Linked DNA regions of Pelodiscus sinensis. Each later gene encodes a partner of the first gene's protein in a complex. Links are inferred from orthologs where the notes say so. Each region holds a gene or a part of one and is shown on either strand. Other genes may lie near its edges.

Evidence for each region. The genes of interacting proteins can lie anywhere in the genome.
Region 2: CNOT11 (region 1) and CNOT8 share a complex: the UniProt entries of both Homo sapiens proteins name them as parts of the CCR4-NOT complex. The link is inferred for Pelodiscus sinensis from reciprocal best matches to the Homo sapiens genes CNOT11 and CNOT8.

The regions. Positions count from the first base shown.
Region 1 is NC_134711.1:230,737,470-230,744,561, reverse strand, and holds the start of CNOT11 (CCR4-NOT transcription complex subunit 11), read right to left. Parts: upstream 3,012-7,092; 5' UTR 2,911-3,011; coding exon 2,478-2,910; intron 1-2,477. UniProt on the Homo sapiens protein: Component of the CCR4-NOT complex which is one of the major cellular mRNA deadenylases and is linked to various cellular processes including bulk mRNA degradation, miRNA-mediated repression, translational repression during translational initiation and general transcription regulation.
Region 2 is NC_134727.1:38,147,949-38,155,803, reverse strand, and holds the start of CNOT8 (CCR4-NOT transcription complex subunit 8), read right to left. Parts: upstream 3,006-7,855; 5' UTR 2,774-3,005; intron 2,175-2,773; 5' UTR 2,015-2,174; intron 1,886-2,014; exon of another isoform or gene 1,788-1,885; intron 594-1,787; 5' UTR 569-593; coding exon 452-568; intron 1-451. Other genes in the region: FAXDC2 (fatty acid hydroxylase domain-containing protein 2), read left to right, coding at 3,713-3,778. UniProt on the Homo sapiens protein: Has 3'-5' poly(A) exoribonuclease activity for synthetic poly(A) RNA substrate. Its function seems to be partially redundant with that of CNOT7.

The DNA of each region.
Region 1 (7,092 bases):
GCAGGTAAGCACTTATGTGGCCGGGAGGAGACCATAAGCCATGTGGCCCTCCAGCTGCACAGAGAAACACTCTTCTGCAGTTGGAGTCCTGGCACCTGCCATTGTTGGTTGGCTGAGAAATGGGGCAGGAGGAGAAGCACTGGGTGGTATTCCCCAGCTCCAGCCCCCAGAGCCACGTACAGCACCACAGGGCTAGGTGAGGGGGTCGCAGCAGGCACTGAGGGCTCTAGGGGCAGGACTAGTGCTGGGTTGCTCTGGAGGCTGAGCTGGTAATAGGGGATCTATGGGGCCATGGCTAGCACTGGGGGGGAATGGGTACAATGAGGCTCCGGAAAGAGGAGGCTGTTACTGGGGGGGTCTGGTGGCGGGGGGCTCTGAGAAATGGGGGATGAGTGCAGGGGACTTAGGTCAGTGGCTGGTGCTAGGGGGTAGCGGAGGGCTCTAGGTGTTGGGGGCTGGGCCTTCTGGCAGACTGATGTTGTATTTGCAAATTCATCATTTGCATAAAACACACGCAAATATGCAAATAAAATATTACTAGTCCACCAAAAGTGTGTGAATGGGTTTGTCAGTCCCCAGTATCAAAAAGGTTGGGAACCACTGCTCTAGAGTATTGCTGGTCAAGTTCAACTCCTTTTCCCCACACTCTAAATGGTCACTACAAGAGCTTGGAGAATACTGCAAAAAAGTTTGCTAAAAATACAGGGAATAACAAAGTGGTTTTTTTTCCTCCTAAAAAGCATGAGTGGGACCTCCCTTAGCTCTTATGCAGGAAAGTGTGGGTAGAGCACTGAATTTTTCCACAGAACTTGTCTGTTTTTTTCCCCAGTGTTTTTCAGGAACAGAAGATGTTTCTCAGGTGTGATTAGTAATAACTAAACCCATTCCCCCTTCAAATTCCTTTTCTTTTTGTCCCTCTGGTTTCAGCATCAATATTACTCCCTCCACTTCTTCAAAGCAGTGAAGCAAACCCTGGTAATTCTCATGACAAACCCTTAAAAAGCAGGGTTTTTAAGGTCATCCAGCCCCCGGCTTGCCTGGATCCAGCCCGAGGCTCAGGGCTCTCTCCCCTTCAACATTGAGGAGCCCACGCTGGCATTTCCAGCCCTCCCTCCCCCACCACAGGGCTGGAGCACACAAAATCTACTAGCCTGGCCCCCATAGGCTCTGGCATGCAAGAGAAAGGGAATGTCTGGAGTATTTCCGCTTTTCATTCGAGGGCCACATCTGTGAGGTGGGTTTTTTTTCCCTTTTGCTTCTCACTTGTGCGCAGCCCCCAGCTGATTTTTATGTGGCTCGGGGCCCCCACAACCCAAAAAAAGTTGGGGCCCCCACCCTTGGCATAAAGTATTTCATGCTTTCTTAAAGCATTGTAAAACAGCAAAATGCACCACACCCTCTTTTCCTTGTAGTGCCTTTTTGAAAATAAAATACGTAAAAGCACTGCTCAACAGGGCCTTGCACCACTCAGTAACACATCACTCTGATCCCTAGCTCGAGGGGTGGGGGGGTAATTAAAAATTATTATTTTTTTTTGTTCCTTGCCCCCAAACAGATAAATATCTGGACAGAGCGTCACCCTCCAGCCCTGGATCACAGAGACATGACCCTATTATAGGGATGCATTTGTACTGGAAACAGAGGGAGCAGTGACAGGAAAGCCTCACTTTTTGCATACATTCTAACACCCAGAAAAAAACCACCTCTTACATGGCTGCTCCAGTGCTGGGGAATGGAACTGAGCATGCCCATCTCACTTCAATTTATCTGCTCTGTATATTAGTTACCTTAGTAAGAATCCTTCTGATTTAGACTGGGGAATTTATTTTTATGTAGACCTCCTCAGTTTTCATGATTTTAATGTAATGTCCCCAAAACTGAGAGCCAGGGAGATGTGCACTGTGAGTAGAGTATGACCATTGCCAAATGTGCTTTTAAACATTTTGCCTTTTAAAGTGCACTGCAAAAGGAAAGTGATGAGCCTTTCACCATGTGTTTTAAAACAAAAAGCCTGGAAGGCATGAAGTGTCTGACCTGAGAACTACCTGGGTTTCTTTTGCTGCTTTCTAGAGAGCAGTTCAGATGAGTTAAGAACTATGGAGATGGGTGCTGAAGTGAAGTGTTCTCCAATTAACAAAAATGTACTTAACCTCCTGAAAACTTCTTTGTGAAATATTCACTCACACCCGCATCTGGGCTCTCAGTCAACACCTCACCGCCCCAACTCGCACAGACCCGGGGAGGATGCTGGGGCAGACACACCCGGGGCAGGCTCAGGGCCAGTGGATACGAAATAAAGCATCACTCCGAGCGGGGCCTCCTTCCAGGCCGCTGCCCGTCTCCCCCGAAAGGCTCGGGTGCGATCGCTGCTGAGCGGCCACAGCCCGGGAGTCCCCGCAGCGGCGCCGGCCCCACCCCCCCGGCGGGCCCAGGGAAGCGGCTGCGGTGACTCTCGGGGGCGAAGCCCCGGGCGGTACCTGAGAGCGGCGGCCGCTCGGCCTCGTCGCCGCGCTCGGGCGCGGGGTTGAGCAGGTGGGCGAAGATGGCGGCGAAGGGGTTGGCGGCCAGCGGCTCGGTGCGGTACATCTCCCACAGCAGGTAGAGCGCGGTGAGGCGCTGCGGGGGGCTGGGCAGCAGGTCGGGCTGCTGCAGCAGCAGCACCAGCACCGAGCCCAGGCGGAAGTGCTCGGCCTTGCCGAAGTAGTGGTGGAAGGCGCTGGACAGGCCCTCGAAGGTGCTGCCGCCCGCCTCCTCCGAGACGATGCTCAGCAGGCTGGAGAGCTCCTTGGGCGACAGGCTCATCCTGCCCGCCGGGGCCCCCGCGCCGCCCGCCTCCCCCCCGCCGCCGGGGGCCCCCGCCTCCGCGCCCAGCACAGTGCAGGGCGCCGGGCTCCCCCCGCCCCCGGGCATCCAGCTCCCCGCGCGAGCGCGCGCCTGCGTGCAACCCCCGGGCGGCTGCGAGCCGCCGCCGCCGACTGCGAGCTCGGCCTGCCGCTGCCGTAAAGCCGCGCGCCGGCTCCGGTACGGCGTGCTTGCGACACTGTCGCGCCGCACACGAGGCCGTTATGGGAGGAGGAAGGGAGAGATCGCAGCCGACGATTGGCCAGCGGCTGCCCCACTAAGAGCCCGAGGGAGGCAAGGGATTGGCTGCCGCTGCCGTAAAGCCGCGCACCGGCTCAGGGACGGCGTGTTTGCGACATTGCCGTTCAACATTCCCGGCGCTTGTGTAGGGGCCGGGAGATATAGAGGCAGGGGATTGGCTGGCGGTTGCCCCATCGGGAGCCGGAGGGAGGCGCGGGATTGGTTCCTGCTCACGGGCCCGACCCAGAGAGGTGGGGCTTTGTGGGGAGTCTAGTTCCCTCCCGCCAATCAGCGAGACGTGTTCCTGGGTTTTGTAAGCGCGCGCGCGCCTGGGGTTGGCGCAGCGGCCGCGATTCCGGGCGAGCTGGAGCGCGCGCCTGGGGCAGCCGGAGCCGCGTTCGTCAGGCCTGGAGGCCCTTAACGTTTGCAACCGCCCCCCCGCCCCAGCCCGGCAGCAGAACCGAGGCGTCCTGCTGCCCAGCCCCCTGCGCTGGTGGCTTCTGGGGGGTCAGACCGTGTCCACGTGCCGCTCCCTGCTGCAGGCTACAGACTTTTGTTGGCCGAGATGCCCTTTCGGCAGCGTATTGGGTGGTTAATTGTTATTGCCATAATCAGAGTAGGGATGTCCCCACCAGCCAGGCTGGGCCTGCTGTGCTGCATGTGGCTGGGCTAGAGCAGCTCCCCGCGGCCCCCCCCACCCTCCGCCCATGGGATCCCATTTAAGCTGTTACACCGAATGGTGAACTGATTGAACAGGATTTTCCATCCTTCAATCAGAGCATGATAGGTGAGTACTAGATTGATTTACTTAGAGTCGGTAAAGCTAAAGTGCAAGCTCTGCGTTTTGATTATAGAAGTTGTTTTTCTTTCCTTCCTTGCTTAAATAATAGAGACGGCTGCCTGAACAAAATATCCCAGGAACGGTGAACCCTAATGCATTTGGCAGAGAGGATGTGGTAGAGCAGGAAAGAGACAGAGACATAATTATAGCAAACTGTTTGATTTGTTACAGAGATTGTATTTTAGTTTCAGCAACCATGCTAAATAATGTAAAAAATCAAGTACACCCCCTACCTTGCCTCATTTGCAATAACATGCTGGGGAGGGGTAAGATCCATCCAACAAACAAAAATGAAATTAAAGCACTGTCAGATACAGTAATTCCTCATTTAACACTTGCCCACTTAACACATTTTTGTGATAGCATGAATTTTTTTTTTTTTAGGGAACTTTCTTGAATTACACAACTGTCCCCGGAATAACACTCTTTCCCCAGCTGGCCTGTTGCCAGCGGCTGCGCGGGTCTTCCCAGGCCTCCCTGCAAAGCGGAAGAGGGTTCGCTGTTCCCCGGCAACCTCCCTCCCTGCCCACGCTGGACGCAGTGTGGGTCCCGGCAGACCTGTCACAGGGGCATACTCCCAACCCAGTCCCCCTCCCCTTCCCTTCCCCAGAGCCAAACACCTCCTCTCCCTGCTGTAACCCAGTCCCCTTTCTCCCCCAACCTTATGTCCTGGTCTCTACAGACACTAACGCTTGAAACACAACCCCCACCTTTTCCATTATTTTCAGTGGGAAAATTGACCCCGCATAACACGTTTTCACTTAACACGATCATTTTCTGAAACCTATCTATAGTGTTAAATGAGGAATTACTGTACTATTATTCTCATGAGTCTTTCCTCCTTAGATACACATTCCTTTCCTTTGTTGTTTAAGTGTTCCATCCCATTTAGGTTGTTTTTATATAACAATGCTAATAGACGGAGACAATGTAGTCCATCTGGGTCAATTCACATGTCTAACAATCATACCCTGTAATGATTTTTTTCCTCAAAAAGGGGAATTTTTTTCTCTAAAAGTCTTCACTGCAACTAGAAGTGTCAGAGGCAACAAGGAATGAGACAACTGTAGCAGGAACAGGTTGTAAAAAAAAAATGTATCTTTAATTCCTTACAAAGAGAAAAAAATTGACATGACATCAATACTACAGGAAACTCCACATTAGGGATGTAAAATCCTGTTTAAACATTGGCTGCAGGGGCGGATATAGGGCAGGGCGAACGGGGCGGCCGCCCTGGGCCCCGCGCATGTGCCGTGGCACCACCGCGCATGCGCCGTGGCAAAGGGGGGGCCCCCGCGGAGTTATGCTGCCTGGGGCCCCACAAAACAGTCACCTGCCCCTGATTGGCTGTGTCTAGACTGGCAAGTTTTTCTGCAAAATCATCTGCTTTTGCGGAAAAACTTGCCAGCTGTCTACTCTGGCCACTTGAATTTCCGGAAAAGCACTGACGATCTCATGTAAGATCATCAGTGTTTTTCCAGAAATACTATGCTGCTCCCATTTGGGCAAAAGTATTTTTCTGAAAGACTTTTGCGCAAAAGGGCCAGTGTAGACACCACAGTACTGTTTTCCGCAAAAAAGCCCCGATTGCGAAAATGGCGATCGGGGCTTTTTTGTGGAAAACCGCATCTAGATTGGCCACGGACGCTTTTCTGCAAAAAATGCTTTGGCAGGATGCTTTTCCGCAAATCTAGACGTGCTTTTCCGAAAATGCTTTTAATGGAAAAGTTTTCCGTTAAAAGCATTTTCGGAAAATCATGCCCGTGTAGATGTAGCCATTATGTTTAACTGGCTGAACAAGCGAGTAGGAGGGCAGGACTGGAACCAAGGGCAGAGGGCTGCTCCAGTCGTTCTGGAACATCTCCCACCTGCCATGAACCACATGGAGCTGGGGCAGCCCCCTGCCTGCAGTGAATGGGGTCGTTGCCTTAGCCCCTGCTAGTTAACTATAACCACTAAGTATCACCCAGTAAGTGTTGTTAACCATTCACATCCCTACTCCACATGCCTTACTGGCTGACCATGTAAGAATAAATCTTGAGTTAGAGAGTTTTTAAAGATGCCAGTGTGAATGTAACTCCAGGCCTAACTATTAGCTCGAACACCCTTAGCACAGCACCCTTAGCTCGAAATAAGTGATATAATTTGTGCTACACAACTTCCGTAGCTTATTCCTAGTGTATTTCGAAATAGCTTGTTTCATAATATTTCTAAATAACTCACTATTCTGAAATTCCCCTTAGGCTTCATAGAACGAGTATTACCAGAACACCAGAATAAGCCACCCATTATTTTGAAATGAAATAATAGGCTGCTTCAGTAGACATGGAATAGCTATTTTGAGATACTTCCATTATCCCAAAAGAGCTTTGCAGTGTAGACGTACCTTATAGTGCAACAGCTGCATGAGTGTGCTGAAAATTGAGAAACATGAATGCATCGACACAGGTAGGATGCATCTACACTAGCAAGATTTTGTGCAAAAGCGGCTGATTTTTTGCAAAATCTTGCCGCCTGTCTACACTAGCCGCGAGTATTTGCGCAAGAACACTGACTTTGTACTGTACAAAATCAGTGATTCTTGTGTAAATACTCCGACGCACCCACTCAGGGATAAGCCCTCTTGTGCAAGAATACTTGTAGATAGCCAAGTTAATTTCTTGCGCAAGAGAGCGTCTACACTGGCACGGATGCTTTTGCGCAAAAGCAAATCTTTTGCACAAAGGCACATGCCAGTATAGACGCTCTCTTGCACAAATACTTTTAACGGAAAAACTTTCCAGTTAAAAGTATTTGTGCAAAATCATGCCAGTCTAGACGCAGCCATAATGTTTAGTTCATTAGCTGCTGTACATTGTAATGAGAAGCTTCAGAGGGGTAGCTGAGTTAGTCTGTGTGACGTAGTGGGGGGGAACTTGCTGGTTTCTATGGGTCTGTGGTAACCCCACTGGCTGCCGCCGGTACCACAGCCCAGAAGGACAGAGATGGGTCATTATGCAAAGGGATCTCTCAACCGTCTGACCAGCTAACCCCCATGGAGAGGAATAAAGGAAGGTGAATGCTGCCCTGTTTGGGGGGCAGGGCTGGAGGAAAGTTAGTTAGTTTCTGTCTGGGAGGATGGAGGAAGCAGCCTCAGCAACAGGCTGGGGGGTTTAGAAGCCAAAACCGCC
Region 2 (7,855 bases), on another chromosome or scaffold:
AAGAGAGTAATCCTATTAGCTAACACGTTGTGACTTGTGTGCCTGTTGCCATATATCAGCAGGAAGCCAATATGAACCTGCCATTCAAATTAAAAATATGCTAACTACATTAAACAGCTTAGAACCAAGTAGGCATGTTTTTAAACTCTATTGTATGAACAAAAAAAGTATTTACAGATTTCATCTGTTCAGCATGCCCTCAATCCGCACTGTCTACTTACGTGATTTCAGAGAATCTACAAAAACTCTAAGCAAGATATTGGAAGAAGACCATGTATTTTTAAAAAGTCATGTAAAATTTTAAATGCCAAGCTTCTTTCCAACTGTTCCCCCTTAATATTCAGCTTAAACGGACCCTGGAATGCTTATATTTATGAATAAGTGAGTAAGCTACCCACACTGAAATTCTCAGGTTAGTCAGCAGATGATCACTGAAGTACAGCATATTTACCATTGCAATGTAGCTGTAGCTGAGAACTATTTCTCGAATTTTCCTCATCTCCTCTTCCAGATTGTTTGCCCATACTTCACATATAACCTGACTGTTCTCCACAAGTGCTGCTGGCATCTTGCAGGAATTGGAGTAGAAGCACCTAATATCAAAATTGGAAAGTAAGTAGGGTAGTGTAAAACCTAACTGGCATAGCGCAGTGAACACACACAAACATGCTACTTTGCATTAATACATCTCAACAAATCAGAACAAAAATACAGACAGTGAGTTAGTATGGAATGTTTCTAGTCTGGAGTATCCCTTTCAGCTGGCATATCTGAGTTATTAAAATAAATTCTTTTCTGCTTTTAGAACATTTTTGTAATATGCAGTAAACTTCTGTTTTAAATTGGCAGAAGATATCCAGGATTACTAAGTCCAACTGAAACAAGTCTGCACACTTCAAGTATAAGGCCTATTTTTGCAAACCTAAAGAAAACTAATTAGGGATGTAAGTGACTAGTGGAGTCACTACTCCCCCCTGTTGCTGCCTCTATCAGAGGCAGCAATGGGGGGGGGGGGGAACAGGAGCCAGTGCTGGGGGGAGCCAGCTTAAAAGCAGGTTCCCCCCCAGCACCATCTTTGCAGGGGAGGCAGAGGTGCAGCAGGCAAATGGGCGCAAGCCAGGACTCAGCTGTCCCGGCTCGCACCCAGTCCCCCGCTGCAGGTCTGCCTTTTAAATGTAGTAAGAGCCGGGCAGCTCCCAGGGCAGGGAGCTAACCGTGCTGCAGCTCTGCCGTTGCCCCCTTTAACGACTAATCAAATAGTCAATGGAAATTCCTAATCCACTACTCAATTAACTCATTAAACCCAGTTTATCAGTCTTAGAACTAATACCTTAATTTAGTATTGCTTTTGCTACAGTGTTTTTCTCTTAGGGCTAGAAAGTGAGAATAAATAGCTTCTTACTACACTGTTATTTGTAAGATGTGTGCTGCTCTGTTTCAATTCCCCAAGACCTGTTCTACAAAGATTTTGCAGAAGTTTAACTATTCCATTAAGGATTGTGGTTGTATGCTGATAATATTACATCAGTACAACCACTTGTGTGGACAGTATTAACAGTTAAGATTATTCTAATACATTTATGAGACAAAATACATTGGTATAACTGCACTCCCTAAGGGGATTATGCTGATAGTTAAAGCAGTATGAAAACCAGGGGTAGACGAGAACCAATATTATACCTAGAAACAACATGCAAAGCATCTAGAGTTATTTACAGAAGCTGCAGTGAAGCCAAACAGTCCATCAAAAGCTTTATAAAAGCAGATACTGATCAATATTGTTTTACCTGTCAAGGAACTACTGTTTTTAAGTTTAATGTCATCAGTGTAGGCCTTTCGGTTCTTGCCAACTCTAGCTTTCCCAGAATTCTTTTAATGCCGTGATACATAGAAGGGGAAATATACCACCCTTGTAATTATGGTGTTGAAACTTTGGCTTGTTGGCAGCCTTTAAAAGATGAGATACTATCCATGGCTAATTATTAGTGGGCAGGTCTCCACATAAATGGCATACTTGTTGGCAGCCCCAATCAAGCCTCCAAGGATTTGTGGGCAACTCAGGAATGGGATACACAGGCAAAGCTGAAGTCTACATCTACTTCTGACTGGTGGCAGATTCACACTGCAAGAAGTCTGAATGCTACTGTTCTCGAGAAAGAGGGCACACCTGTGATCTGGGAAGGGAACAAGGCTTCCACGAAATTATCCAGCAGCAAGCAGTTGCTCTTTGCCTGGGACTGTCTCATGAAGGGACAGGTAAATCCTTCTTTAAGAGAAGGGGCTGAATCAGGCCACAGGAGGGCAGTGAAATAACTACCAGCGACTTTCCACCTTCCTTCAGGAAGCGGAAGTTACATTTCTCACAACAGAAATAAAAAGCCACAAAAATAATCCATGGGCAACTTTCTGCATCCCAATGCCCCCCACTGACTGCACCCTCAATAGCCATGGGGTCTCTTGGGTTCTGCTCCCCACTGCAGCCTTTCCTATTCCTTCCCCTTTCACCCCCCTCAGGGCCTCCCTTCCTGAGGACCCCCTCCCCCTTGCACTCTCCCACCCCCCCTTCTCCAGACCCCCTCCCCCAGACCCGCTCCCCCTTGCACTCTCCCCTCCCCCTTCTCCAGACCCCCTTGCACTCTTCCACCCCCCCTTCCTCAAGTCCCCTCCCCCTTCCATCCTCAGACCCCCTCCCCTGCTCCCCCCTAATCCCGCCCTTCCCCCCCCCCCGCTCCCGCTCCCGCCGGGGGTGTATAACGGGGCCTCCCCACGGCACCTGCTCTCTCCGCCAGGGCCGTCTCCTCACAGGCGCACAGAGGGCGCGGGCCGGGGCGTGGAGGGGGAAGCGGGGCCGCTCTAGCCGCTCGCGGGGCCGCTGCTCGTCTGCTCCTTCCCGCCCTCCCCCCGTCAGGCGGGCTGGCGGACCTCTCCCGCGCAGCCACACCACCGCCAGGCCGCGTCAGGATTTCCGGCCTGTCCCCCCGCTCTCGCGAGAGTGCACGCGCCGGTGGAGCAGGACGGAGGCCCAGACGGCGCGTGCGCGCAGCCCCCTTCCCGCGGGAAGCGCTGGGTGCGGCGGGGTGATAGGCTGCCCGCGGGCGCGGGACAAAGGGGCGGGGCGTCTGGTTCGAAGTGCGCCGGCGCAAGGGAGGGGGGGGAGCAATGCCGTTCTCCAGCCGTTAACGGCCGGCGGAACGGGCGAGCCCATGGGCGGGGGGGACAGAGCGGTGCCGGGGGGAGCCGGCTCCCTGCGCCCGGCTGGCCGCAAGAGGCGAAACGGGGCCACCGGCTCCCAGCCGGGCCCGCTCTCCACCCCCTACGGACCCCAGGCCCCGGGGCTGACGGGGACCCCCCCCGCTCCCAGCCAGGGACCCCCCCCCGCTCCCAGCCGGGCCCCGGGGCTGACGGGACCCCCCCCCCGCTCCTAGCCGGGCCCCGGGGCTGACGGGACCCCCCCCCCGCTCCTAGCCGGGCCCCGGGGCTGACGGGACCCCCCCCCCCCCCCGCTCCTAGCCGGGCCCCGGGGCTGACACAAGCCGGCCCACCCCCCAGCTCCTACTTCCCCCCCAGTCCAGTTGGGATCTTTGGGGTGGCAGGACTCAGTCCCCCCCTTTCTCCCTTTGGGGCAACCCCCCCCCCGGGTACCCACATTAGGCTCCCAGCTTGCAGCCATTGCCCCCTTGGGCACAGACCTGCCTTGCTTCTTCTGACTGGGATGGTCCAGGCTGCGCCGCGCCCATCTAGACTGAGTTCCCAAGCACGCCTGGGGACGCCTGTCCAGGTAAAAACCCTCCTTGCTGACTTGGGTTTGTGCCAGAACAGCTCTGTGGTCTTTCCTCTGAGCAGGTACATGTATTCGTAAAATGAAAAGTATCATACAGAAACAAGAGTCTTCTCACGTGACAATCAGCTCGCCTGCCCTCTCCCAGCAAAGGCTCCCTACATCCAAGCTGATCAGTCTCTTACATCCCACCAAGGGGATTTTCTGTGATCACAAACGTGTAACAGCTTTGAACCCAGAACAAGCATCTCTGTGAGTCATGCCATTATACAGGTTAGGCCTCTGTTCTTGTCCTCACGAAAAAGGTGATCAGGAAAAAAAAGTCGCATCCTCAGGGTGCAGTTTCAAAAGACTGGGTCTAGAGGTGGGTAATTTGCCTTCCTCTCTTCCTAAGTATTTTCAAGGAAACACATTTAACTAAAAATTCAATCTTGTTTGGCCCATAATTTTAACATAAACAGTTGCAATTTTAATACAATGAACTCTTAAGGTATCTAAAGTTAATTCAATAAGTTTTGTCCAGGTTATTGCTGTGTATGTTTCAGAAATAACAGGGTGTGATGAGCCTTCCCACTACTCTTAGGAGCTAGACTCAGGACAACCCGTTCAGATCTAATCACAACCAATAGCTACGGAAGACTTCACTCTGGCTAGGGTATCGCTGTCTATGCCAGGATTCCTTGGAGACTACAGGCCCAACCCTAGCCTGCCACAGTTAATTGGCGCATCACTAACACGCATCCCCAGCAGATCAGATGCTGAAGCGTAATTCCTGTCCATGAGGACTATGCCCTCCACTTTGCCTCTGGTTTTGCTGCTCTGAAGTGATTCTCAGGGGTCTGCATCTGAGGGAGGGAGATACCTGCCTGTCTGCATCTGGCTTTACTAAAGGAGAAGAAGCCCTTGACTGACAGGTCCCAAGGTTTTTTACAAAACATGAAAGTAGATGCTCTGCTTCAGAGGTTGTTCTCTTCCCATAATTCAGGGTTAGGTGACTTCTTTCATTCTACTGAATCTTGGTTTGGTGCCTTGGTTAGACAGGTTTTTGGAACTCGTTTCATTTCACATATCAGATTTATTTCAGTATCCCTGTCCTTTCATCCTACCAATAGGGGCGACTCTATGGGTGCTCCAGGGCTCAGACACCCACCCAAAAAAAATAGTGGATGCTCAGTACCCAGGACCAGAGCTGGATTGTGGAATGTGATGAGTTCTGTGCTGCTAACAACCTCTGCCCTTGGGGCAGGGAGTTTGTTTATATACAGAACAGGATGATTAAGATAACAAAACGCTTGTCATTAATTAAGAATCATTAGATGATCCTGAAAGCAGTCTCATGTACTCCAGTTAAAAGACAGGAAACAAACCATAGGAATAAATAATCCATTCTCAGAAAGATAAAGAGTGGTGTCCCCAAGGAGCTTGTACTGAGACCCGTGGTATTCAGCATATCCAAAAATGATCTTCAGAAAGGATCAACTGAGGTGCCAAAGTTTACAGATGATACAAAATTACTCAAGATAGCTAAGTCTAAAACAGACATCAAAGAATTCCAAAGGGATCTCACAAAATTGGGTGACTTAGCAACAAAGTGACAGTTGAACTTCTATGTTACATGCAAAGTAATGCATGTAGTAAAATATCATTCCTACTATACCGACAAAATATTGGTGCCTAAATTGGCTGTTACTCATCAACAAAGAGATTTTGGAGTCATTTGCTGTAGAGTACTGCAGATTCATAGAATCTTTCTCTTTGTGCCTGAATCATCCTGAACTCGTTCTGCAGCTTCAGAACACTTAAAAATTATCTCCAGTCATCAATGGGATAGGCACAAATGAATAATTTCTTAGCGTCCTTAACATGCACCAAAACAATAGCAGGGAACCTAGATGTAAATTAGATTGCTTGCAGTTTTATCCGGAAAGCTACAGTGAGATATGTCTTTAAACTGGGATGTTAGTGAAGACAACATGTAGGTGATTGCAATAATTTTAATATACAATAATTCATGATCATCTAATTATGTAATTCATAATAATTGAATCATTCTTACAAAAGTAAAGATGCCAATAATAGGCACATTCAATAATTAAAATATGAAAGTGTTTAAATATATTGTGAAAATAGCCTCCCCCAAAACTGACAGGGTATCTCCCCAAGTGCACACTCCTCTTCAAAAACACCTACTGACAGAAAGAAAAGTCAGTGCCTACGATTGAACCCTTCACACAGACAACTTTCCAAGCACTATGAAAGTAATTTATCATTTTCCAGTAAGTGACCTCTTCCGTGTCAGCATATGTTCATCGTTCTATCACAAACAAAGAAATGGTGCTTTTGTAACTCAGTATTTATTGAACTTTATCATTGAGGCTATTAGGAATATAAAGCTTATCTTTCCAGATTAGTTATTTTTATTCCCTTTTTGCTTTCTCAGCTGCAGCATATAGCCTTTAAGTTGCACGAGTTATACATTAATGCTCTATGTACTACTGGGGAAATTCTGTTCCAAAAATTAAAAGTTATGTGCACAATATTTTAAAATTGTCTATATTTTATTTGTCAAATTAACAATCACACCAGTTTCAATTCTTTTGGTAATTTATTTGAAAATACCTGTCAGCAACTATGTCTGCGACAATAAAGACAAGAAGATTAAGGAAATGTTTTTTGACAAATGGATTCCTTACTAGGTACATTAATAAAGAGCTTTGAGTAATAATTCATTTAAACGACAATATAGAAATGTATTTCCCGCGTCCCTCAGAAGCAGCTCAAAGGCTTGAGGGAGTGAGGGGTAATGGAGGAGTTAAAGGAGAGGGAAGTAATGGCTGGGAATTGCCTAATAGTTTTTTATTTGGGAGGGGGAGCGTTAGGGAATTGGGGAGCCTCCTCCATGTAGACCCTAGTTGACCCCTCAACTCTCCTATTCATTCAGACATATTTGCCCATCCCCATCTGTCCCTTCACTCCCTCTCAACAACCCCTCCTCTCCAAGCCTCATGTTTCCCTGCTATGGATGTGAATGGATAACTGGGTGAGGCTTACAAGATAACGGTTAACCGGAGCCTGGGAGCTGCTAATGGCCCACTGCGGGTGGAGGGCTACTCCAGCCCTGCCAGGTCCACTCGCTGCAGACTGGGGTGAGAGCTGGCAGCCTCACGTGAAGCCAGGAGCCCCGTGTGGGGCCCAGGTAGAAGCAGCCCACAGAGCTGACAGCCCTGTGGGATGGGGGCTGCTTCAGCCGGGATGGGACAGTCCCCCACCTGGGATCCCACTTAAAACCAGTTAAACCTCACATTTAACTGGTAAACTGATTAAATGGGATTTTACATTCCTAGTCCCTGCACACACACCCATTCCCATGTGTCCCTGTACTCCCACTTAGCCACCACTCTGTCCCCCCATCCCAATTTGCCCGTGCACCTCCCATTCAGCACCCAGCCTAGTCTCTCCCCTCATGAGCCCTAGTCTAGGTGATGCCTCCCCAGCCCTGTGTGCTCTGCTTTGTATATCTTCCCCCCATATCGGGTGCTTCCTCACTTGGCCCCATTGGCGGGGTGTTGTGAGGACCACTGCCTCTCCTGCCTTTCCACAATTGGCTGCTCTGGCCTGTGAGCCTGCTGCCCTCTGTTCTGGCACCACAGCAGCCCCTGGTGGGCAAAAGGCCTAATTGGATTGCCTCTCCAACAGAATGTGAAAAAAAATCTGCAGGGCACATGAATTATACATGTGCACAATAGCATAGAATTCCCCTAAGAGTAGGCCTGCCAAAACAGAACCATTGCAAGCAGAACTGAGTGTGCAGCTCTGTTAAGCCCTTGCAAGGACATGAGACAGCCAGCCCAACGTTTTTCAATAGCAATGGTGACTTTTTGTAGTATGGATACCTGTCCACTGGGAACCAAACTAATTTCGGACGGGACACCAAATAGCCAAGAAATGGGAGCTGCTTTTGATTACAGGCAACCTGGATTGATTTATACTTGGAAATCTTATCTAGGCCGTTCAGTCCTCTGTTGGGAGAGTTATTCAAAAACAATTTCTTATTTAAATGAGAGTTAAAAGAAAACA